Xenopus tropicalis: one gene and its partners. The protein of the gene in region 1 interacts with the protein of each later gene in a pairwise test. Links are inferred from orthologs where the notes say so. Each region holds a gene or a part of one and is shown in the gene's direction. Other genes may lie near its edges.

Region 1 (5,757 bases):
TTACAGCTAAAAAGGCACTTTTAACTTCCTGGTGGATGACAAAAACCATTATATTTTTGGCGAAAATACACTCGGAGCGTTCGAATGAATGCTCCGGGCGTTTGTGTCTTAATAAATCTCCCCCTATATCATGCAAATCTTATAATAGCACAAAATGCATCTACAGGCATTTATCTGTGATTATGTGATTTGAATAAAATGCCTGTTGCAATTTACATTAAACCCATAGTGGAATATTTTTGTTGTCATGTTTTTGCCCGCTGGAAGTGATATCCCCTTAGAAACAAAATGCTTTGTGTGGCATTGCGCAAGAGGTATGTATGTATGTATAACTTTATTTATAAAGCGCCACAAGGGTACGCAGCGATGTACAATCTTACAAAATTACACACAGGGAGGACAAGTGTTATAATAAATACAATAAATAAGTACAAAATACACAAGGAATAAGTGCCATGTGGTATGAGACACAGTAGGAAGGCAGTCCCTGCCCCATAGAGCTTACAATCTAAGTAGGTGAGTTTGTTATATACAACACGCCAGTACAGATAACAATATTGTGCATCTTGCGGTTCCTAAACATAACTACCCCCAGCCAGGGCTAAGGGCTCTGGCACACGGGGAGATTAGTCGCCCGCAACAAATCTCCCTTGTCACGGGTGACTAATCTCCCCAAGTTGCCATGACCTGCCTCACGAGTCTTTTTTGGCGATATCGGGAAATCGTGCCGCCGCGTGTGCCATCCCGCCGGCGACTTACATGTTCGCCGGTGGGATGGCAGGTCATGGCAACTCGGGGAGATTAGTCGCCCGTGACAAGGGAGATTAGTCGCCCGCAGCAAAACTCCCTGTTCGCGGGCGACTAATCTCCCCGAGTTGCCTACCCCTGCCATCCCACCGGCGAACATGTAAGTCGCCGGCGGGATGGCAGACACGGCGGCGCGATTTCGCGCAAATTTCGTCGCGATTTCGCGACTTACATGTTCGCCGGTGGGATGGCAGGTCATGGCAACTCGGGGAGATTAGTCGCCCGCGAACAGGGAGTTTTGCCGCGGGCGACTAATCTCCCCGTGTGCCAGAGCCCTAAGGGCTCTGGCACACGGGGGAGATTAGTCGCCCGCGATAAAACTCCCTGCTCGCGGGCGACTAATCTCCCCGAGTTGCCTACCCCTGCTGGCGGGATGGCAGACGCGGCGGGGCAATTTCAGGGAATCGCCGAAAAAGACTCGCGATTTGCGCGAAATCGCGCCGCCGCGTCTGCCATCCCGCCGGCGACTTACATGTTCGCCGGTGGGATGGCAGGGGTAGGCAACTCGGGGAGATTAGTCGCCCGCGAACAGGGAGTTTTATCGCGGGCGACTAATCTCCCCCGTGTGCCAGAGCCCTAAAGAAGCACTTCTTTTATCACAAGTAGGATAAAGATAACATAACGTGTCCCAGTTTGTGCAGAGAAACAGGAGGAGGAGCTTGGGCAGGTCTCCTTGTCACTCACAGTTATGACACCTTCCTGCGGGAGAGTGAGAGGACACGCCCAGCCGTCAGTACAGCCTACACACGGGTCTCCCTTCAGCTCTGATAAACAGGCTTTGGAGCCCATATACCGGACACCGCTAAAGCGGCAGTGAGGACAGCCTGCATTTATATTCCAGTATGAAACCTTTAACCTGCTCTAAAGCCCTGACAACCTGCTAGCAAATTCAGCAACCCAATTCTAAACGTAGATTTATATTACTAATCATCCCCCCCCCCCTCTCTCTACGTCCAAGTGGTATGTGCTGACTTCTAGTTTCCTGCGAGCCGAGCGAGTCGGTGCGGTGCAGGTAAGCGCGCAGGGTTGTGTACCATGGCGCATTCACATTCATTGTTTCCGTGCTGCTCTCAGTCTCCTTTATGTGAGGCAGCCCCCAGCACCACATGTGGCTAGAGCAGTGCCAGCTTCCTGAATTAAAGATGGATTCCGAGCCCACAACTGCATTTTTGTCGAGTTTAACAGGAGGAATGCAAGGTATGCACCATGGAGGAAGGTGCCTGCTATTTGCAGCATGGTGACAGGGGTGTGCTGTATAGGCAAATGCAGGCTGGCTGAGCCTAGGGGCAATGGCACACAGGGGGTTTGTTGTCTCTGGGAAAGAAAATCCCAGTTCCCCTTAGGCCAAACATGGCAGCACATTGGAATCACCACATGTTTGTCAGCTAATTCAGCAATCACACAAACTGCTGCTTTCTGTATATTCACATGATAACCTCATTCAACTGAGCTGCACACAGCAACACAAAGCCCCACGGCCCCATTGCCATAATCATGACATCATGCTTTCTCTTTACTAAATGCCTTGTATGTGTTGTATGTGGCCTTCAATAAAACAATATGAGCGAACTGTTGATATCAGAACATTTGTATTCTGGTTTATTTTCAACTTTTAAACACGTTTTAGTAGGTTTTAAGCATAGTCTTCTGAATTAAAGGAACAGTAACACCAAAACATTAAAGAGTTTTAAAGTAAATGAAATATAATGCACTGTTGCCCTGCACTGGTAAAAGTTGTGTGTTTGCTACAGTAACACTACTATAATTTATATAATAAGCTGCTGTGTAGCCATGGGGGCAGCCATTCAAGCTGGAAAAAAGGAGAAAAGGCACAGGTTACATAGCAGATAACGGATAAGCTCTGTAGAATACAATCGTGTTTTATCTGTTATCTACTAAGTGCCTGTGCCTTTTCTCCTTTGAATGACTGCCCCCATGGCTACACAGCTGCATTCTTTATATAAACCATAGTAGTGTTTCTGAGGCAAAACACCAGTTGTACCAGTGCAGGGCAGCAGTACATTATATTGGAATTTCTTTCATACACTTGAATTTTTTTGGTGTTACTGTTCCTTTAAGAAAGAATCCCTGGAAAGCTTGGTCCCAAGAATTCTCCCAAGTTCTTCCAAACGCTTTTTACGGTTTAAACAGTTCACCAAATAGGAAAATTTTTCATTGCTTTATATATATATATATATATGTGTATTCTCTGCCCTGGTAACTCTGCCTTGTGAATCACTGTAACACAAGCAGCAGACTGACAGACCTGACTTGCTGGAGGAGATTGACCTTTGAAACATTGTTTAAAAAGTAACAACCAGGAGTTAACTAAATGCTGCTTTCAATAGCAGTTACATTCACAAATAACTTTTGAAGCACTAACATTTTTGTTTATAAATTCATATTAGAAAGTTGCTTAGAACTATGTTTTCTTTTATTAGGCAAAATATATTTTTTGGGTTGACATGCTCTTTAAGGGTGAGAGCACACAGGACATATGGTCCGCTTCTCTCGGCCTGCATTTGGTAGGCAGGTTTTGATAAGCAGATCTGATTTATACGCTTCTGTGTGTAGTTGCACTGATAGTGATAGCATAGGCCTGATTGCTGCTAGACAGAGCAGTGATTGGTCAGAAAAACACGACAGCAGGCATTTTCAGGCCAGTCTCTGCGCCGTGTAGCTGCATTAAGGCCGATGCTGTGTCTGTCAGTGCAGCTACTCACAGAAGTGTTTAGAGCAGATCTGCTTCTCTCTGCCTGGCCCAATGCAGGCAGAAAGAAGCAGACTATACATGCTTTAAGAGGGGCCTAAATGAGTTCTTGAACAATCAGAATATCCAAGGCTATTGTGATACTAATATCTACAGTTAGTACTAGTGGTTGTATTTATAGTTTATGTATGTGAGTGTATAGATTGGTAGGTGTGGGTAAGGTGTGCTGGGTTTACTTGGATGGGTTGAACTTGATGGACACTGGTCTTTTTTTAACCCTATGTAACTATGTGTGCCCTCTCCCTAATATTCAAGTCTCAAGTGCTACAGTCTGGTATCTCAGTAATCCAGGTTACTCTGAACTGTTATAGTTTGCTACATGAATTGATAGATTTCTCAGCAGAACATGTGAAACATTAGTAACTACTGTATTAATTCTAGCAGCTGCCTTTAATAAAATGTAGGCCCTGGACATATAGAGCATTTCTTCTGCTTCTCTCAGGTGAGAGAAGCAGATCTATTCCCTTACGCAGCTCTGTTTACCTACACTAAAAGTACAACTTTTGCTTGAGTGCAGGTACATGGAGCGGAGTGGAGACTGGACCGAAAATGCCTGCTTTTGCCGCTTTTGTTGCCAGCAGAGGGGCCGATTCTCTGCCTGTGTTTTTCCACAGGCCGAAAATCAGTTTTGTGTGGCATCAGCAATAAGCTGGCCATATGTGCACTGATAAAATCGTACGAAACGCAGTTTCATAAATATTTCGGACCTTGTGTGGGATCCGAATTATCATCCCGATAATTTGTGTACCATGGCAATCCCAGGTTAGAAAATTTTGCTCGGAAAATTATAAAATCTGTGCATGTATTTATTACCTGACGATATCCTTGGGGGACCTGCAATGCATTTCCAGTAAGTCACTTTTGTACGATTGGTGTCTGCCAACTATTTCATGTTCAGAACATCCTCCGATTTGTTATTTTTAGGGCTTTATCCTACAATTTCGCCTGCCCTAAACATTAATATTAGAAAAACACTCAAATATTGAAAAAAGAAAAGTAGAAAGCAAATGAAAAAAAAAAACATTTATGGTGTACAGGAAAAGACATTTTGTGTTTACAATTGTAGCAGTATATTCTTTCATTAGGTAAAAGCTTAAAGGAAAACTATACCCCAGAATGAATACATAACCAATGACCTATTAAAGAATCTTACCAAACTGGAATATATATATCAGTAAATATTGCCCTTTTACATCCCTTCCCTTGAGCCGCCATTTAGTGATGGGCTCTGTGCCTAGCATGTACTGTATGTGTGCTATGGCTTGTTTGTGTGCACTGCAGGCGGCCCTTAATTTTTAAGGCAATTTTAATGCCAATTTTTTATTTAGGATTACCCGATAGCACATACTACAATCCATTTCATTTCAAGCAACTTTCCAATATATATTTAATTACAAGTTCCAGTGCTTTATTACATGTGCATGTAAATTTCTGTTCTTTGTACAAGTCCCATTGACTTCTATAGAAACTGGCAAGCTTTTAAATGGTGAATTTGTACATTCAAGTTTTTGGGTTTTTAAATAGCAGACATTCCTGAAACAGAATTCCAATGTAAGTTTTTTTTTTAGTGCAAAAAAAACTTGAATCGCGAGAAAAATCAAACTCACACTTTAATAAATCTCCCCCTTACATTTGCAAAGCATTTTTCACACACAAGGTAGCAATGACAAGAAAATATTATACCCCATTTTTAAAATTGAGGTATGCCTGCCACTTGCTATACAATGCAACTGGGGGACCAAGGCATCACATATTGCTTGGACATCTGTATCTAATATTGCTGCGACCACTGTGCTGTGTGATGGATTACTGGGCCAATTCTAAGGTTAATGCCACATGGGGTGGATTTCAGCACCAAAATGCATACTCATGATAGGGCTGATGTGAGTGAAGGGGCTTATTCTCAGCGTGCATTGATACACAGACCGAGAATCAGCCCTGTGTGGCATTAGCCTTACAGAACTATTATATGTTGGGTGGTGCTGATGCTTTGTTTCTGGGAGTATTTAAATTTACTTTGCAAGCCGGAAAAGCAGGCATGAAACTTAATGCTGAAAGTCATGCGTGGATTCAACAGTGGTGCTCTGTTCTGGCCTCGGATTGCCCTTTAAAATGGGATGTGTTTAATACTGCCCGGCATGATACAAAAGTTTGATGCCCATATTAATAGGTGGAAAAAT
Region 2 (5,791 bases), on another chromosome or scaffold:
TGGATTAGTAAATGTGCCCCCTAGTGTACACTTTCAATGATATCTCCAAAAAATTATACCCTGAGCAGCACCATTAAAGGAGAATGCAAGTCAAAATTTAAAAAGCGTACTGCCCAATAGTCCTCCTATTGTTTAGTAAAAACGCTACACTTTTGGCTCACCTAATTAAATATTTACTCAGTCACACTTACTTCACATTTTCTAGAACAGGCAGCCATCTCTAAAAAGGTATTCTCCCTTCCTTTCCCTCCTTGCTTCATACTGCTCATGTGTTTCATTCCTTCCCCCCCTCCCCTCTGCCAGATCAGCTTGTGATTGGCTGGTGGGTATGTGTAGCTCAGAACAGGAGACAGCATCAAGTTACACACATGGTCAGAGAATAGGAAGGCTGCCGCTGGCAGCCTACAGGAAGGACAGAGAGATTTCAGTGATGTCACTGTATTCTTCACACTGCTGTAGGCTGCCAGCAACATATCTCAGAGAAGCAAGCAGGGATCTGGGAATTTAGATATGCAGTAAGTACTTAATAAGAATGCCTTTAGACTTACTTTTAATTTATATTAACCTTTCATTGTCCTTTAAACAATAAGAGTAATAGGTCCTAAGCCCCAAGAATATTAAACAGTGGGTACTGGACCCAAAGACAGGTTATATACAGGGTAAAGTAGTTGGCACTGACATTACAAGTACTTAATACGGTTAAATACTGGTAACTGAAGAAAGTCAGTGGGCATCGGCACTCCAACTACAGTAAATAATGTGAAAAAATTGGATGCCCACGGCATTCCAAGAACATAATTTAAAATGGGGGAAGTGGCAACTGGCATCCCAGTTATTTAGAAAACTAACACCCCAAGGACATTATATACAGTTTAACACAGTGGGAACTGATGCCCCAATCACACTAAGTGAGTGGCAGTAGGCAGCGGCACAATGATTACCGTATATACTCGAGTTTAAGCCAATCCGAATATAAGCCGAGGTACCGAATTTTACCTAAGAAAACTGGAAAAACGTGCTGACTCGAGTATAAGCCTAGGGTGGGAAATGCAGCAGCTACTGCTAAGTTTCATCAAAATAAATACCAATAACATTACATTAAATGAGGCATCAGTGGGGTATATGTTTTTAAATATTTATTTCAAATAAAAACTGTAAACTAGCTCTGTAAGTGGAGGGTCAACAAAAACAATTGTTTTATTAACAATGATACCTTAAGAGTACTCAGCAACCAAGCTAAAACACAAAGAGTTAAAATCCTCCAAAACTATATATAGTTTATATAGAATATAAAGTGAAATGTCTAGTGCAGAATGGGACAGGTGAGGATGGTAGATGAAGATAAATTTGGGAGCGGGCCAGGGCACTGGAGGGTCTGGTTGCGGATGGCCTAATTTGCACACAAAGGTCAGAGGGTGCTAGTTTGGAGGGACCCATGGCACCCGACTCGAGTATAAGCCGAGGGTTACTTTTTGAGCAAATTTTGGGTGCTGAAAAACTAGGTTATATAAGAGAAAGGTGCAAGGCAGAGGGTACATGCATTATTTACAGTGAGGGGAGGTGAGCACATGTACCTCTAGCTAGAGAGCTGTGATAACAGCACTGCAAATTTGACATTGCCGCTGTCAAATCAAGGTAGTACAGCATGGTTCCATCAGCATACCACTTCTGCACCACTGACAAGGCTGTTGGAAGGTACAGAAATTTGCCAAAACCCACAGACTGTCAGTCTGGGCCTGGCAGGCAATCACTATTTATCAGTCTTCAGGGAATTGTTTGAGCCTTTGCGCACTTAAAAAGCCAGGGCCAATTCTGAATCCTAATCTGGACCCCTTGGAGTACCACATTAGAAGAACATAAAATAGGTAATAATAGGAAAATATTTTAAGCTTGTATCAATTTTTTATTATCAGTAACACATGCGGAAAACAACTGGGACACCAAGAGCCCATCCATCACAGCCTTACAACATTTGCTTCTTGCTGAGTATGTGCATGTTTGCTGCACTTCACCAGGGCCCTCTAGGCAACCAACCCCTGAAACTATAACTCAGACTCAGCATTAGGGTATACTTATGTACTCCTTTGTTTAATGGCAAATCAAATGAAATTGTGTGATGATAGTTGAATCAGTAATCAGAAGTTACAATTACTATCGTTTGATCACAAAAGCATACATATTTCCGACTGTCTGTGGGGCAGTGGAATTATGAAGAAACTAAAACGTATTATATTATATTGGAATTGTGTCCGAATAACTTTAATTACAGTCTTTTATACCTTTTTCTAACACCCTTCTATATCCACAAGCATCATCACCTATAGTACCAGTGTATGTTTTTAGCTTTTCATACAGTCCCTAAGCTCCACAGCCCGAGCTTTTGCGGGAGGGGGAAGGGGAAGGCGAAGGGAAAGGGAAGATCTCGGAATGAGTCAGGAAGAGGGAGGAGGAATAGATCAGAAAAAATGGCCACCGGCAGCTGCTGAAAACAGCACCAGCTACTGACTTCCCGGGATGGTCCGGCTGACCCGGCTGGTCAGCATTAATGGAAGGGGACGAAAGAAGGGAAGAACAGCACCTGGCACAGCGGTGGCACGGACGGCTGGTCATTAGGTCACAGCGGCAAAGCAGGGGCGCAAAGGCCCATCTGAGTCATCTTTCTTCATTTGGTTCCTTGTCTGAAGTGACATATTAATGAATTACTATTTATTTGGAAGCGATTGTTTGGAATAATTGAAGGCAAGCATGCCAGGCGCTGGGCCGCAGTAGGAGGAGGAAGAGGACAGGCTGTGTTTGTGTTCAATCCTGCTCTCCCTTTATTCTGCAACCCTGCACAACGGTGAGTGCTGCTGGACTCATCTTTCTATTGCGGGGCGATACATAGACAAACGCAGGCCTTTAATGTATAAATCATCTCTTGTGTTGTGATGAATATAATTTTTTTTCTTTGCTCTGAAGCATTGCTAGGCATTACATAGCAATTTTAAAGGGGGAAGTTCCTATTACTATTCCTTCCCTTGCCTCTGCTAGGATGCGGTCTAGCTGGCAGTTCTTGTACTCCGTGTATCTGCATTTATATAATGCAGCTTATTGTACTGCTTTATTGTGTAAAGCCCCCCCCCCTTTTTTTTTGTTACCCCTGTATAACAAATTCGTTTACAGTCTTATCTTTGGTTTCTGGGGTACAGGGCAGTGGCTTCTCCAAGGTCACAAGAAGCTGACCCAGGAATTGCAGTGGAGCTTTCATGAGTCAAATGAGTTTTGACCTGAAACCCGTTTTATTGTTAGAATTTTTTTTATATAGCTCTGACATATTCTGCAACACTTTACAGACATCCTTAACATATGTCTTTTCCCCAGTCAATAGAGCTTACAGTTTTAAGTCCCTTTCATTTACACACTGTGGGCAATTTTTTCAGGAGCCAATAAGCCTGACTTTTATGTCTGGGGTGTGAGAGTAAACAGAGTACCCAGAGAAAACCCAAGCAGACACACAGTAACTGTAAATTTTTCTCAAGCAATATCTCCTGCTAAACATGATAAAGTATATATATATATATATATATATGCTGTCTGCCAAAAAATAAAGGCATAACAACCTTTAAAATGACTGTAATGATATTAAAGACTGTTAACCATTTTAATTGTTAACACTCTTCTTGTTGTCTATGAATATGCTGTAGTTCGGTGATTACCAAAAATCTCCATACATTTTCAAGGGAATTCTGTTGGTTACTTCCAAGTTCAATCACCTATAGGTGTTTATAGCTAAAAGAGATGGGGATGTTCCTAAATTTCTGCAAACATTCTTGCACAACCATAGCAACTCGTGACCACTATTGTGCAAATAAATTACTTAGCCTAAGCAAGGTCTAATCAGGATGATTGTGTAGATGTATGTGCGCAGTTAATTTTTACTATACTGGGTATACCCAGTGTAGTAAAATGAACTTGTTACCCTTGCTTTATGTAACTATTTTCAAACTTTTTCTTTGCATAATTACTGGGTACCCAGCTGACATAATAAATAGTTATATTATATTCCCCTGCAGGAGTAAAAGTTATATACCATCAGTACACATTTGGCATTCTCCTAAAACATGCTGCTACCCCAAGGAGTATAGGAAGGCACATGAGCTGTTAGGTGTATCATAAAAATGGATGAAGCATTTCAGTGTTTTATTCAGTCTTCTGGTTTAGAAATTTCCCTGCACAGCATATGCAGTTCAAAGACAAAGGAGGGGTAGAATAAGTTTTTGTGGTTGTATGTTTGTTTTATATGTAATTCTAAACAGCTTTCTGGTGCTGCCTTCAGTTGCTATCACATTTTGCACATAACTTTAAAACTGCTTAAAATATAAGAATATGAATTGGCAATTTGTTTAAAATTACATTTTCTTTCTTTATGGGGTGAAGGACCCCTTTAAGGAATTGTCTCCGAAGTATGTATTGTTTGCCATGTGATGGAATTTTGACCAGTTATTATGCAATGTTTCCGAGTTACTGCAGCTGTGGTTTAGCTGGTATAGGAGTATAAGACCCAGAGGCATAAATATGATATTTGCTTAGCAGTAGCTGTAATTTGTAAGTATGAGTTCAATATGCTCTGTTTTCTGAGTTTTTGACAAAATGCTTATTCTTAGTTTCTTGCATGTGAGAATTTACCTTTTTAGAAAATAAAAGATCATTTTGAGAATTAATGCATGCATATTTTGTTATACTGCTTACACCACAGAGAGGAAAAGAAACTTAATTCGCAAGCTCAAATTCAGTGGCCACATTTACTGTGAAAAGTGGCAACATGTTTATATATTACCAATTAAAAATATTTGGACTAAGCACTTCTTAGACACTGCTTTACCTTTGCTGTCCAAACATTTCAGGATTTGTAAGTGGTCAGTATATTCTTTTTAAAGAATGTATGTTGTGTGCAACAAACTAAAGATATAGATCAGATATATCAAGGTTATTTTCGTACCAAGACTGGTATAGGTGGTTTTAGAAGTATGTTAAAAGGATGTATATAATATGCTACATACATGTACAGGTATAGGAAACTTTAAATATTTGTTTAAAACAGAGTATATGGTATCTACCATGTTGCTGTTTTGTGCTGTTCTGTGTTTCAGAGCATTCCGGATAACTAGATTCTGGATAAGGGATCCCATGCCTATACATGCCATTATGCGTGAATTCTGCCCTGTTTTTGAGGTATTCTTTTGTTAAATAGAGATAAAATAAGCAAAAAAAGACTACATTTGCCTGCCTGCAAAACAGTAAGGGAGATTTAGTTTTCTGAAGTGAAATTATTTATTAGGCATTCTGTAAATTTAAAGTGGTTATACAATAAGTAACAAAAAGTAATGTACTCTATATATAGTTTATGTATGTGAGTGTATAGATATGTCAGGATAGGTTTGTGTGTGCTGGGGTTCACTTGGAAAGGTTGAACTTTGGAGCCACTATTGTGGCTGGTTTGTGCACACACTCGTTTTCTTTAAAGACTGCAATGGCCTGTTCTTTTCTGTGCTTCTCTGCGCTGAACAAAGTTGTGCACATGTACCAAAATTGAAGAATTTATGCAAATATGTTTATCCAAGGTAAAAGCAGAATTAAAAATAACGGATAAAATGGATCCAGCCCAGGGTAATTTTTTAGTAAAATACACAGTACAAGTATAGAATCCCTTATCCAGAAACCCATTGTCCAGAAAGCTCCGAGTTACAAAAAGCCTGTCTCCCATGGACTCCATTTTAATCAAATAATTCAGAATTTAAAAACTGATTTGCTT
Region 3 (5,714 bases), on another chromosome or scaffold:
TACAGTTTTTGTTTTGTAAAAATAAAAGAGTAACAAAGTGGGGTTGGTGAGCACTACCTTGTGCCATTTTGGAACCTCTTTTCTACAATCTCCTGACAGGAACATGCACAGTTGAAGCCAGGGGTGTTCCTAACCTGTGATGCTCTGAAGTGGATTTCCCAATTCCAGCAGAATGTGTGCAGAGATCCCAATAAAAAAGAACATTTCTTAGCACAATTGCTGGATTTGAGTTCCACCTGTTACAGTTTTGTGTTGTTGCAATGTATTTGGCTCCTGGGCAACGGAGCTTACAAATCTAAACACCATTGCAATCACTGAACATTTTTGCACAAGATTGGGAAGTATTTTCTAAACTTTTCCAAATTCCATCCTCCCCCGTGCTTATTTAGCTTTGGAGTAGGTCAAGTGGGTGCATTGCTAGAGCAATCACAGCCTAATTGCAGTCTCAACCTGAAACACTATTTTTCTCTACGTATTTTGTTTACGTTTAGAGAAGTATAATGCACTAGCACATTCAATAGCTACTCCTCGGCCTGGAGTAGCTATTGATGCAGAGGAGGGAGAGTGTTTTCAGGGATAGATTTATAAACCATTCTGAGCAATTCCATGTAGGCAATAGTTGTATCTGTATTCGCACCACTTTAATGTAGTTTGTCATCGTATAATGAAGCAAAAGATAGGGACAGCCCAGTGTTTCTAAACTTTGAGTTTCAAATAAGGCACCACTTAGGGCAAGATTCATTAAAGTAAAAATCCAAATCAAGAAATCCGATAGTTTCTGATGTTGGCAAAAGTCACAAAAAATTCCGTTCGTTTGAATATGAAGATTTCGTACTTACGATACGAAAGTTCCGAAATTTTCATATTGAAACGATTGTTTGCGAATTGTGATCCGATAGTCACGAAATTTTCGTATCCGAACAATTGTAAATGGCGGTAAAACCTGACTTTGAACCTTCTGTGCATGTTTTTGGAAGCCTCCCATAGGACTCAATGGCACTCTGCAGCTCCAACCTGGCCCAAGGAAAGTCTCCCATAGGGCTCAATGGCACTCTGCAGCTCCAACCCGGCCCAAGGAAAGTCTCCCATAGGGCTCAATGGCACTCTGCAGCTCCAACCCGGCCCAAGGAAAGTCTCCCATAGGGCTCAATGGCACTCTGCAGCTCCAACCCGGCCCAAGGAAAGTCTCCCATAGGGCTCAATGGCACTCTGCAGCCCCAACCCGGCCCAAGGAAAGTCTCCCATAGGGCTCAATGGCACTCTGCAGCTCCAACCCGGCCCAAGGAAAGTCTCCCATAGGGCTCAATGGCACTCTGCAGCTCCAACCCGGCCCAAGGAAAGTCTCCCATAGGGCTCAATGGCACTCTGCAGCTCCAACCCGGCCCAAGGAAAGTCTCCCATAGGGCTCAATGGCACTCTGCAGCCCCAACCCGGCCCAAGGAAAGTCTCCCATAGGGCTCAATGGCACTCTGCAGCTCCAACCCGGCCCAAGGAAAGTCTCCCATAGGGCTCAATGGCACTCTGCAGCTCCAACCCGGCCCAAGGAAAGTCTCCCATAGGGCTCAATGGCACTCTGCAGCTCCAACCCGGCCCAAGGAAAGTCTCCCATAGGGCTCAATGGCACTCTGCAGCTCCAACCCGGCCCAAGGAAAGTCTCCCATAGGGCTCAATGGCACTCTGCAGCTCCAACCTGGCCCAAGGAAAGTCTCCCATAGGGCTCAATGGCACTCTGCAGCTCCAACCTGGCCCAAGGAAAGTCTCCCATAGGGCTCAATGGCACTCTGCAGCTCCAACCTGACCCAAGGAAAGTCACCATACCGAAGCTTGAATGAATCCGAAACTTTTGTACTCTGCGCGACAATACCGTTTTGTCACGTAAATTTTGATGCATAGTACAAAAAAGTCTTGCAAATTAGCAAAAAAATGGTGAAAATACGTACAGTATGAAATATGATTTTTTTGTATTTGGAAGCGATCATACTTTGATAAATGGGCCCCTTAGACCAAAGGTTGGCAAACTTTTGTGGGGGATTTCTTTTTAATAAACAAAACCTGAATGCTATTTTTTAATAGTTTAAGGTCACAGCACCCCAATAGGAATTGGCCAGAATCCAAATTGACAGTATTTGCTACTCTTTAACAGGGCCACTATCACACATTGTCTTAGTTCTCTACTAGAGTCTTTTATGAAGAAAATTTGTACTGAACAATGCTAAATGCTGTATATTTGGCTATATTGTAGCTTCAGCAATAGTATTCCGTGGGTAACATCAGCCCGCCAAATCCCATCTGTGCGGAGATTGCGCGTTGCTAATAAAGTTATTGGGAAAAGAAATCCCAGCGTGCAGCGGGTTTCTCGGACACGTGATGCGGGTCAGAGTGGGCGCCAGACTGCATGCTCGTAGGACTTCCGGTTCCGTTTTGACGTCGGGTCTCCGTTAGTCCCCGGGTAGTGAAATCACAGGGAGAGAGGAGAGTGGCGGCTCTGTGGGTGAGTATGGGAAGTAGTTAGCGTGTAAGCTGTGTAACATTGCGTTTGGGCTGGTGTAGGCCTGAAAGGCCTCGGCCTGGAGTAGCTATTGATGCGGGGGAGGGAGGGTGTTGTCAGGGATAGATTTACAGATCGTACGTTCTGTGCGATTCCACGTAGGCAATCGTTGTATCTGTATTCGCGCTACGTTAGTGCAGTTTATCGTCATATAATGAAGCGCAAAATAGGGGCAGCCCAGTTTAGGGAAAGATACCAAACTTTGAGTTTCAGTTGAGGCACCACTTACACCGCAGGTTGGCAGGCCGGTTTGGGTCAGGACCTTCTGTCGGAACAAACATTAGGCTGGGGTCCACCGGAGTATCAGTCATAGTAAGTGGCCTTCCAGGAGTAAAACATTCTTCCCACATTTTCCCTATCTGCCCTTTAGTTGGGCCCCCTAAGAGCTTCAGCAACACCGCCTGGGAACCACTGACTTACACTGGTTGTATTTTGCTGTAGTTTATTGTATCTCATGGGTTTCACAAACACATGCGGATTATGTAATAAAAGGCACTAAATTTGCCCAGGTGCAATAACCCATAGCAACCAGTCAACAGGTATCATTTAATGGATACTTTTTATTGGTTGCTGTGGGTTACTGCTCCTGGGCAAATTTAGTGCCTTTTATTACATATGGGGGATCATTCCTACAGACCTCCCCCTGAGAACACGAATCGCTGAAATTTTTGCATGCCACACTGACATACCTATTCTGACCCCAGTAGGATATTTGCAAAAAAATCTGTCCCATTGAGAAACAAGAAATGTGTTGAAGCCAGGATGCTACTGAGGGTTGCTTAAAGGAAAACTATACCCCCGAACAATGTAGGTCTCTATAAAAATATATTGCACAAACAGCTCATATGTAAAACCCTGCTTCATCTAAACAAACCATTTTTATTAATATATACTTATTTAGTAGTATTTGCCATTGGGTAATCCTAAATTGAAAATTGCCATTTTAAGAATTAAGGGCCGCCCCCTGGGATCATAGGATTCACAGTGCACACAAACAAGCCAAGGCACACATACATGCTAGGCCCCATCAGCCAATGAATGGGCAGAGTTCTGCCTTTTACTCCCACACTACTTCCTGTTACAGTTAGAGCTGCATTATTTCCTGTCAACTGATCTCTGATTGAACACACAGCCCATCACTAAATGGCGGCTCAAGGGAAAAAGATGTAAAATGGCAATATTTACTGATATATATATTCCGGTTTGGTGAGATTCTTTAATAGTTCACTTAACATAATATAAACTGTTGGATAAGTATTCATTTTGTGGGTATAGATTTCCTTTAAGGTTGGTTATATTCCATAAAAAAGTAGTATGGGAATTCCTTTTGGGTTAAAAAAAAGCTTTTTGAGGTCAAGCATTTTGTCTGCTAGCCCCTAAACCTGTTATAGCTTTACAGATATAGGAAAACTATTTTTCATATTTATTTTCATAGATATTTGGGCTAGTAAGCAAGTCTTTATTCCAAATCTTGCTGTATAGGATCAATTTTTTTTTTTTAGCTCTAACTAGGGGAGCAAAGGGGCATTCCCTAAAGATCACCCCCGAATCTGTATTCTCCTTGCCCTCCACCATTATAAGAAGTGGGGAACATACTTCTATAGAGTTATTACAAGTACATAAAGTACTAGAATAGTAAATGTAACATTCACTAAAATTAGCAGGAATATACTAAAATGAAGTTAGAGAAAGATAATGAATTTTTCTCTGTGGGTACAGAGTGATACTTTGCCTCTCTGGGCAAATGCTAAATTCCTCCCACTGACACAGCATGCAGTTGAATGCAAACATTTGGTCCTCCCTGACCAAAATACATATTAAGTTAATTTTTCTAATTGAAAAGGCAGTGATCAAGCTGAAGGTTTTGGAATGGCCCTCACAATCCCCTGACTTATCTGCAAGCCTGTTGGTAGATCATAAACATTCATAGCACAGGCCACAGAATATCTCTGCAGGGATCTGCAAGGAAACGTGGGCAAAAATCCTTGAATAGAATTTTGTTCTTTTATTAGGCAAAAAACTTATTTTGGGATGACATGTCCTTTAATTACATATGCCATTTGGCAAGGGGTGCCCAAACTTTTTGAGGAAAAACATGTTTAATATGTCTGTTATCTATCTTCTTTATTAATAACATTGGCAAGTTTCCTGAATATAAGCAGATGCGTATATGTCTATACGTATATATCAGTCTGTAGTACAACTGAATCTGTTAGATTTGTCTGTTTGCAAAATGGGGTACATATAGGGCAGCATGGGGGGTTAGCTTTGCTGCTTCCAAGAGCCTTGTCTTGGATTTGATTCTGACCACATACAAAAAAACACCGTTTAGTGGAAGCTCAAGAATAACATGAGGCCTGGGTGCACGTTGCCCATACTTGCTGTTTGAGGAGACAACCCAGGATATGAGCTGGCACTTAGAGACCAACAAACAAATTATAATGTAGACTTTATTACACTAACCTGTCAGGATACAAAAAGCATTATGCCTTTCATGATAAAGTGTACAAGGCTTTTTAGAGGGGTTATGGAGTAAAAGCACTGTGTTTGCCCAGGAGCAGTAACCCATAGCATTTACTGGTCACCTGTTTGAAAGCAAACATCTTATTGGTTGCTATGAGTTACTGCACCTCGGCAAACATGGTGCCCTTTTATTACATATAGGCGTTTCTGTCCTGATATGTTCTTGTAATTAAGTTTTCATTTTATTTACAATTCCTATTTGTGGGTATCCTTAAGTGTCTGATCATGTCTTGGGTTTGATTTTGACCAGGGCCTGATCCAAATGGCTTTGTATGTTCTGCCCATGTTTGTGTGGGGATTCTGCCATTGCTCCTTTTTCAGTACAAATAGATGCAGGTAGGCTAACAGGCTTCTGATGAAAGTGACCCTACTGTATTTGTATAAATGTGGGAAATTAAGGTGCAAGCTTTACCAGGCAGTGGCTGTTATGTGGTTCAGTATTCTCTGTACTACCGTAATACAACCTGTTGAATATTTACTGTAGTATCATGAGTTAAAAAAAAAAAAAAAAGTGCTGTTCACCGAGGGAGACAGAAGTGGGAGTGCTAAATGTCAATTGTTGAAATAACAGACTTATTTCAATTTTTTTGTGCAGTTTATACAAAGGCAGCACTCTTACTCTTTCCAGTAAACATGGCTCTTT
Region 4 (5,850 bases), on another chromosome or scaffold:
AACTTTTGTTACAAGTGCCCCAGCACCCCATATTACGTCCGGTAGCATGCGATGTCACACATGCCACATTGTGCAGCCTGCCCCCCCACGTTTCTGCACCGGATTTCTGCAGAAATGTTCTGGCCAGGGCTGGGGGGATTTTTAATTTTAAAAAAACATCTATTATATAGGCACCCAAAGGCCACCCCCCCTAAAAAACTTCCGCCATAGACACAGGCCCTCGGGTGCCTATATGTAAATACAGCCCTGTTAATTACATTACCTTGTCTTAAATCCCTAACCCTGGCTAGGATCCACTCTAAAGCTGACCATACACGTGGCGATCTGACGATGTTTCGTGCGACCAACGGTTGCACGAAACATCGTCAGATGTGCCACACACCATTCAGGGCTGAATCGGCAGGTAAGGAGGTAGAAACAATAGGATTTCTACCTCCTTCTGCCGATTCAGCTCTGAAGGGAGATTTTGATCAGGCGCCTTCTATCGGTCGACTCGCCGACATACCATACACGCACCGAATATCGTACGAAACGAGGTTTCGTACGATATTATCGGTGCGTGTATGGCCACCTTTACTATGGGCCAAAGGCAATCAACCCAATCAAAGACAAACAAATAGCACAAAGGCCCACCATTAGGGCAGCCAACAATTTTATTTTATTATGAACTTCACAAACCGCTCAGAAAACACAGGCCAACAATCAACCGGGTGCATTTACATGGGGTGAATTTCTGCACCAAATGCATACTTGCATATTTTTGCTCTGAAATCTCATCCATGTGTTTGCACTTGGGCTGATCTAAATGCTAAAGGTGCAGGGAAAGGCTGATGCCAGCGTAGAGGCTGATTCCTGGTCTGCATTTGACTGCATTTATCCACAGGCCAAGAATTAGCCCTGTGTGGCATTAGCCTTACACATCTACAGCTTTAACACACCTTAGAAATAAAGCAAAAGGTTGGAATAACAAAGCTGTATAAGCAAAGCAAAGAAAACCATCGAACTTAAAATAACAGAGCATTGTGCAATCTGCATATACATATGTTTTCTATCAGTTTCACAAGACTTTTGTATACTGCAAGCAATATAATATCCCTATGAGACTAGTAACCACCCCCTAAAATATATTGACACCCCCTTCCCTCTCTGCTTTCCACAAAAATTTGGGGGGCTGCCCCCATACTTGCACCACTACTTCTAGTTGTCTCAGATGCTTATTATTGAATTGTGAATTGGGGGCAAGTTTTGAATGAATAAAAACCAAGTGTACTGCCAAACAGAGTCTCCTGTAGGCAGTCAGTCCAACATAGGGGCAAACACTCCCAAGGTTGGGGGCCCCTGCTCTAGCACATAGGCAGTGCAGCCTTCAGGTTTTTGTCATGTTTTACTCTAAGCAGAATCTCCTACAGGCTAACAGTCCACATGGGGATACCAAATAGCCAATCACAGTCCTTACATGGCATCGCCAAATAACTTTTTGTGTGGCTTACCAACACTTTTTACATCTGAGTGTGGCTCACGACAAAAGGCTGGGGATACGTTTTAAAAGTCAGTTTAAAAAATGTGATAAAAACATGGGATGACCTTGGGAATAAAAGATGGTTAGTAATTATAGGTTATTGTACATTTGATCATGTACAGCAGCTCATACACTTAGGGCTCTGGCACACGGGGAGATTAGTCGCCCGCGGCAAAACTCCCTGTTCGCGGGCGACTAATCTCCCCGAGTTGCCTTCCCCCTGCCATCCCATCGGCGAACATGTAAGTCGCTGGCGGGATGGCAGACGCGGTGGCGCGATTTTGCGCAAATTGCCGAAAAAGCCTCGCGAGTCTTTTTCGGCGATTTCCCGAAATCGCCCCGTGTGCCAGAGCCCTTAGGGGCAGATTTACTAAAACTTTCTCATTTTTTTCATGTGTGAAAATATGTGCGGATAAAAGTCACAAAACTTCAATGTTGTCAAATTGTCCCACCAATGCCTCTTATTTTTGAATTGTAATACAAAAAAACAGCATCGAAAATCCAAAAACCTTAAAAGTTTCAAAGCAAAGAAGGATCATCCAGGGAAGGGAAGAGACACCTGCTATTGACTCCTACACAATCTCGACAAGTTTTAGCTGGCAAATTGTCAGATTCAGATTTTAAGCCATTTTGTGACTTTTTTTAATGCGACTTTTAGCGCTAAAAAAATCTGAATTGGAAAAAAAATCCAAGCATTATTAAATGGCCCTCATAAAGCGCTTAACTATGCTGAGTGGGGGAAAAATATTTTAATTTGTTTACTTATTTGTGTAATTAGAATCAGATTCTAAAGAAGAGAAGGTTATAACCCTAGTAACAACCAAAACAGAGCTGACAAGGTGGCAGTGACTGCCTGGGAGCGGATCACATACAGGTAGAGTCAGTGTGATGCAGCCTGTAGGTGTGAGCTGGGCTTGCTGGGTGGGTGTGGCTTGTGATGTCACTAAATGCTTTGTGTTGAACAATCAAGTAACTCAATTACAGGAAGGGTTGTGTTGTCTTCTACCTTGTTACTGGAATAAACACCCGCTGCTCTTTCTACCTCTGCAGGCAAAAATGGCCATAATAGTATCAGGACCCTGTCCCCCCTCCTGCCCATGGAGCTAAGGTGAGTGTTTGATTTGTTCTTCCCTGTCCTGTATGACTTTATTAGGTGGAGCTGACTGAGCAGGACACAATGACACACTGCCTGTTCATACCGGTCTGCAGCTCACTTTCCTATTGAGCTACAATACAAGGACTGGCGTATAAGATTTAACATTCTGGTCACTTCTCCCCAGGTACCTGGTGTCAGGAAAGTAATATAAATATACAGGATTTGAAGTTTTCCTTTTAACCACTTGTGGAATTCTTCAACACACAGGGGACACAGCGAGACAACTAAATGCCATGGCAAATCAAGTCCCAAGCTGTAATGTCACTCTTACATTGTTGTTATTTTAATGTAAAGCACAAACTTAATCTAAAGTGTTGTACATAAAAGTGCCTTTTAGTAAAATCATATATAACAGGAGAGGTACTAGGTATATTACAGTCTACAAGTTACTTAAGCATGAAAGGTTTCTGTCTAAATGGTTAAACCTCTAATGGGGTGCTATAATAAAAAGTACATCTGTGTTGGGCCTGCTAGCCCATAGCAACCAACCAGTCGATTGCTTTCAGATGGGTTACCAGCACGTGCTTCTCAATGATTGGTTTGAATGGGTTAGTATACCTGGGACCTGGGACCTTGCAACTTTTATTGCATTACCCCTTTAATGTGAAAACAAAACATTATCTTTCTTGGTGTTGCCAAACTGCAACTCACAAGGTACTTCATAGGATAAGCATTTCTGCTGTAATATGAGTCTGGCATAAAGTAAGTGACGTAGCATTTGCAAGCCTTTTGTTAGCCCAAGGGTTTGCCCCCAAGTACTAAATCTATATCTTGCATGGTTAGTAACTAAATCATTCATATGCATTACATGGCAGTCAGTGCAGACTGCAACATACAATTAATTGCTAAATAACTATTTAGTGGGGGGGTTCTGTATAATCCTAGATAAAACTGCATGGTTGTTGTATGTACTCCTCTTCTTCAATATATTTTATAGGTGCACCTTTTTAACAGTGATTTCTAATGCTATTTACATTAACAATTCCCATGTGTATGTATCCAAATTTTGACTTATTCTGGTCATATAAAGACATTCAAAAATTCTCTATTAAATAGGTAAAATGCATATGATGCCAGTTGAAAAATGGGCATAAATGCTGGTCCATGTAACCAGAAATGTATTGATTTGGAGAGACGTTAATTGTTGTTCCAGTAAGGAACAACCCCCTTATTTTATGTGCAGTATTAGTGGTTCTGCCATTTTGCATATAAAACTTGATATGAGTGCTCACAGTGGCCCACAGCATTCACATCCAAGGAGTTTTCTTGCTCCGGCACGCACAGCAACTCACACCAACCAAAAGCTGCTGTCCACTTACAGATGAGGAATAACATATAGGTCATTACTTCCCCAGTGACATATATTAAAGGCATCACTGCCAGTGCATCCCTGGAACTTTGCGTACTGTACTTTCAGTTGTCTTTTGTTTATTCCATATATCTCCAACTTGCAGCCCTCCAGATGTTGTTAAAGTACATCTTCCAGCATCCCACCGACAGCCAAGGAGTGTCATGGGGCAGTGGGAGATGAACTTCAACAACATCTGGAGGGTTTTTCTGTTTCCCATTTGCGAGTTTGTTCAGTAAGCACTAAATGTGAGTATGGACAGGTCCAGCAAAGCCAGGGGAGCCCCTCACCCCTTATCACTGAGTTCCAAGTTGCTGATATAATAAATACTTATATTATTGGTGGTGAGCCCAGTACAGGAAGGAAAGCATTTGTGGAAAGCTTAATGAGCTGTCGCACTGCTGCTAAAGGCCAACCGGTTTTGCTCACGTTTATCTGAGGGAAACTCACATGCAGTTCTCATGGAACAAAAACTCTCCTAGCTTGCTATGTAAATAGACTGTGTTTACTTTTTAAAAAATGAAGAAAAAATGCCTGATGAGGTTCTAATGCAGAGAAAATATTTCAGGGAAAACTTATTGGCCTTGCTTAGAATGGAAACAATATATTTCACTATTGGCCCAACAACTTGCCTATTGTTAAACATTCCTATTCTATGTTTCTGCACTTCTATCTAGCTTGCCAACTTTCTTTTTCTAGTTATATCTAGGTTTTCGTAAAGTGATATGTTTTAAAAATACAGCAGATTCATCCCCCTTAGCCTTGGAAAACTTGGCTTGGCTCTGCTAAATAACCTTGTAAAGGCTCATGGGACGCACTAGAGCTGTACTGGCCCCACTAGAGCTGTGTTGGCCCCACTAGAGCTGTGTTGGCCCCACTAGAGCTGTACTGGCCCCACTAGCGCTGTGTTGGCCCCACTAGAGCTGTACTGGCCCCACTAGAGCTGTACTGGCCCCACTAGAGCTGTACTGGCCCCACTAGAGCTGTGTTGGCCCCACTAGAGCTGTACCGGCCCCACTAGAGCTGCACTGCCCCCCTCCTAGAGCTCTACTGTTCCCCCCCCCCCATCTAGAGCTGTATTGCCCCCCTTCCCCCTCCTAGAGCTGTACTGGCCCCACTAGAGCTGTATTAGTACTTTCAAGATTTCTAATGCAAGGAAAAAGGACCATTAGCTGTAAAGCTCCAAAGTCTGGCACTTGTCCGCTAGTATAATAATGCCATGTGTGCTATAGACCTAAGTGCATTGAATAGCTGATTTGTGAAACTTTTGTTCTCCCCCCACGTAACCTTGCAGGGTTTACTGGTGTGAAGGTGCCAGAAATGTACATTTGCTTCTATTACAGTTACTTGTGACTCCCCTAGGAACCTAGGCACGGAGTAAGTATTACTGAGGGTATTCAGTTCACAGTTTTGCACCAGTGCAGTAACCCATAGCAAATTAGTTCTGATCAATAGTTAAATGTAGTCATAACAAAGGTCTGGTTGCCACAGGTTGCTGCGCTGGTATAAAGTTCCACATACAATATCTTGAATCCTCCCTATCCAGCCTCAATGACCATTTTATTATAGACTTTCTGCCCTCCAGCTGCAGTTACAATACAACTTCCATCATCCCCTACTATCAGAGGTGGGGTCTGTTGACGTATAACAACTGATGGAGGACAGATGTTTGGAATTCCCTTTGCTTTGCTTTTTACAATCACAAAGATGCTCCTAATGACAAGTGAAACTGTACTGAATGCAGGAATGCAAGTTTGGGCAATTTCCAGCTAATACCATTATAACCTAACAGAAACCTGCATGTTAAGGCAAGTCTAAAACTTCTGC

Evidence for each region. The genes of interacting proteins can lie anywhere in the genome.
Region 2: the proteins of E3 ubiquitin-protein ligase TRIM39 (region 1) and wdfy3 interact in binary tests that used the Homo sapiens proteins (3 or more experiments, as listed by UniProt). The two-hybrid records come from large-scale screens. The link is inferred for Xenopus tropicalis from reciprocal best matches to the Homo sapiens genes TRIM39 and WDFY3.
Region 3: the proteins of E3 ubiquitin-protein ligase TRIM39 (region 1) and prpf3 interact in binary tests that used the Homo sapiens proteins (3 or more experiments, as listed by UniProt). The two-hybrid records come from large-scale screens. The link is inferred for Xenopus tropicalis from reciprocal best matches to the Homo sapiens genes TRIM39 and PRPF3.
Region 4: the proteins of E3 ubiquitin-protein ligase TRIM39 (region 1) and lnx1 interact in binary tests that used the Homo sapiens proteins (3 or more experiments, as listed by UniProt). The two-hybrid records come from large-scale screens. The link is inferred for Xenopus tropicalis from reciprocal best matches to the Homo sapiens genes TRIM39 and LNX1.

What each region holds. Positions count from the first base shown.
Region 1 is NC_030678.2:143,271,195-143,276,951, forward strand, and holds the start of E3 ubiquitin-protein ligase TRIM39, read left to right. Parts: upstream 1-1,825; 5' UTR 1,826-1,913; coding exon 1,914-2,004; intron 2,005-5,757.
Region 2 is NC_030677.2:86,541,157-86,546,947, reverse strand, and holds the start of wdfy3 (WD repeat and FYVE domain-containing protein 3), read left to right. Parts: upstream 1-2,408; 5' UTR 2,409-2,839; intron 2,840-5,791. UniProt on the Homo sapiens protein: Required for selective macroautophagy (aggrephagy). Acts as an adapter protein by linking specific proteins destined for degradation to the core autophagic machinery members, such as the ATG5-ATG12-ATG16L E3-like ligase, SQSTM1 and LC3.
Region 3 is NC_030684.2:127,697,987-127,703,700, reverse strand, and holds the start of prpf3 (U4/U6 small nuclear ribonucleoprotein Prp3), read left to right. Parts: upstream 1-2,331; 5' UTR 2,332-2,491; intron 2,492-5,666; 5' UTR 5,667-5,704; coding exon 5,705-5,714. UniProt on the Homo sapiens protein: Plays a role in pre-mRNA splicing as component of the U4/U6-U5 tri-snRNP complex that is involved in spliceosome assembly, and as component of the precatalytic spliceosome (spliceosome B complex).
Region 4 is NC_030677.2:39,807,454-39,813,303, reverse strand, and holds the start of lnx1 (E3 ubiquitin-protein ligase LNX), read left to right. Parts: upstream 1-2,467; 5' UTR 2,468-2,627; intron 2,628-5,850.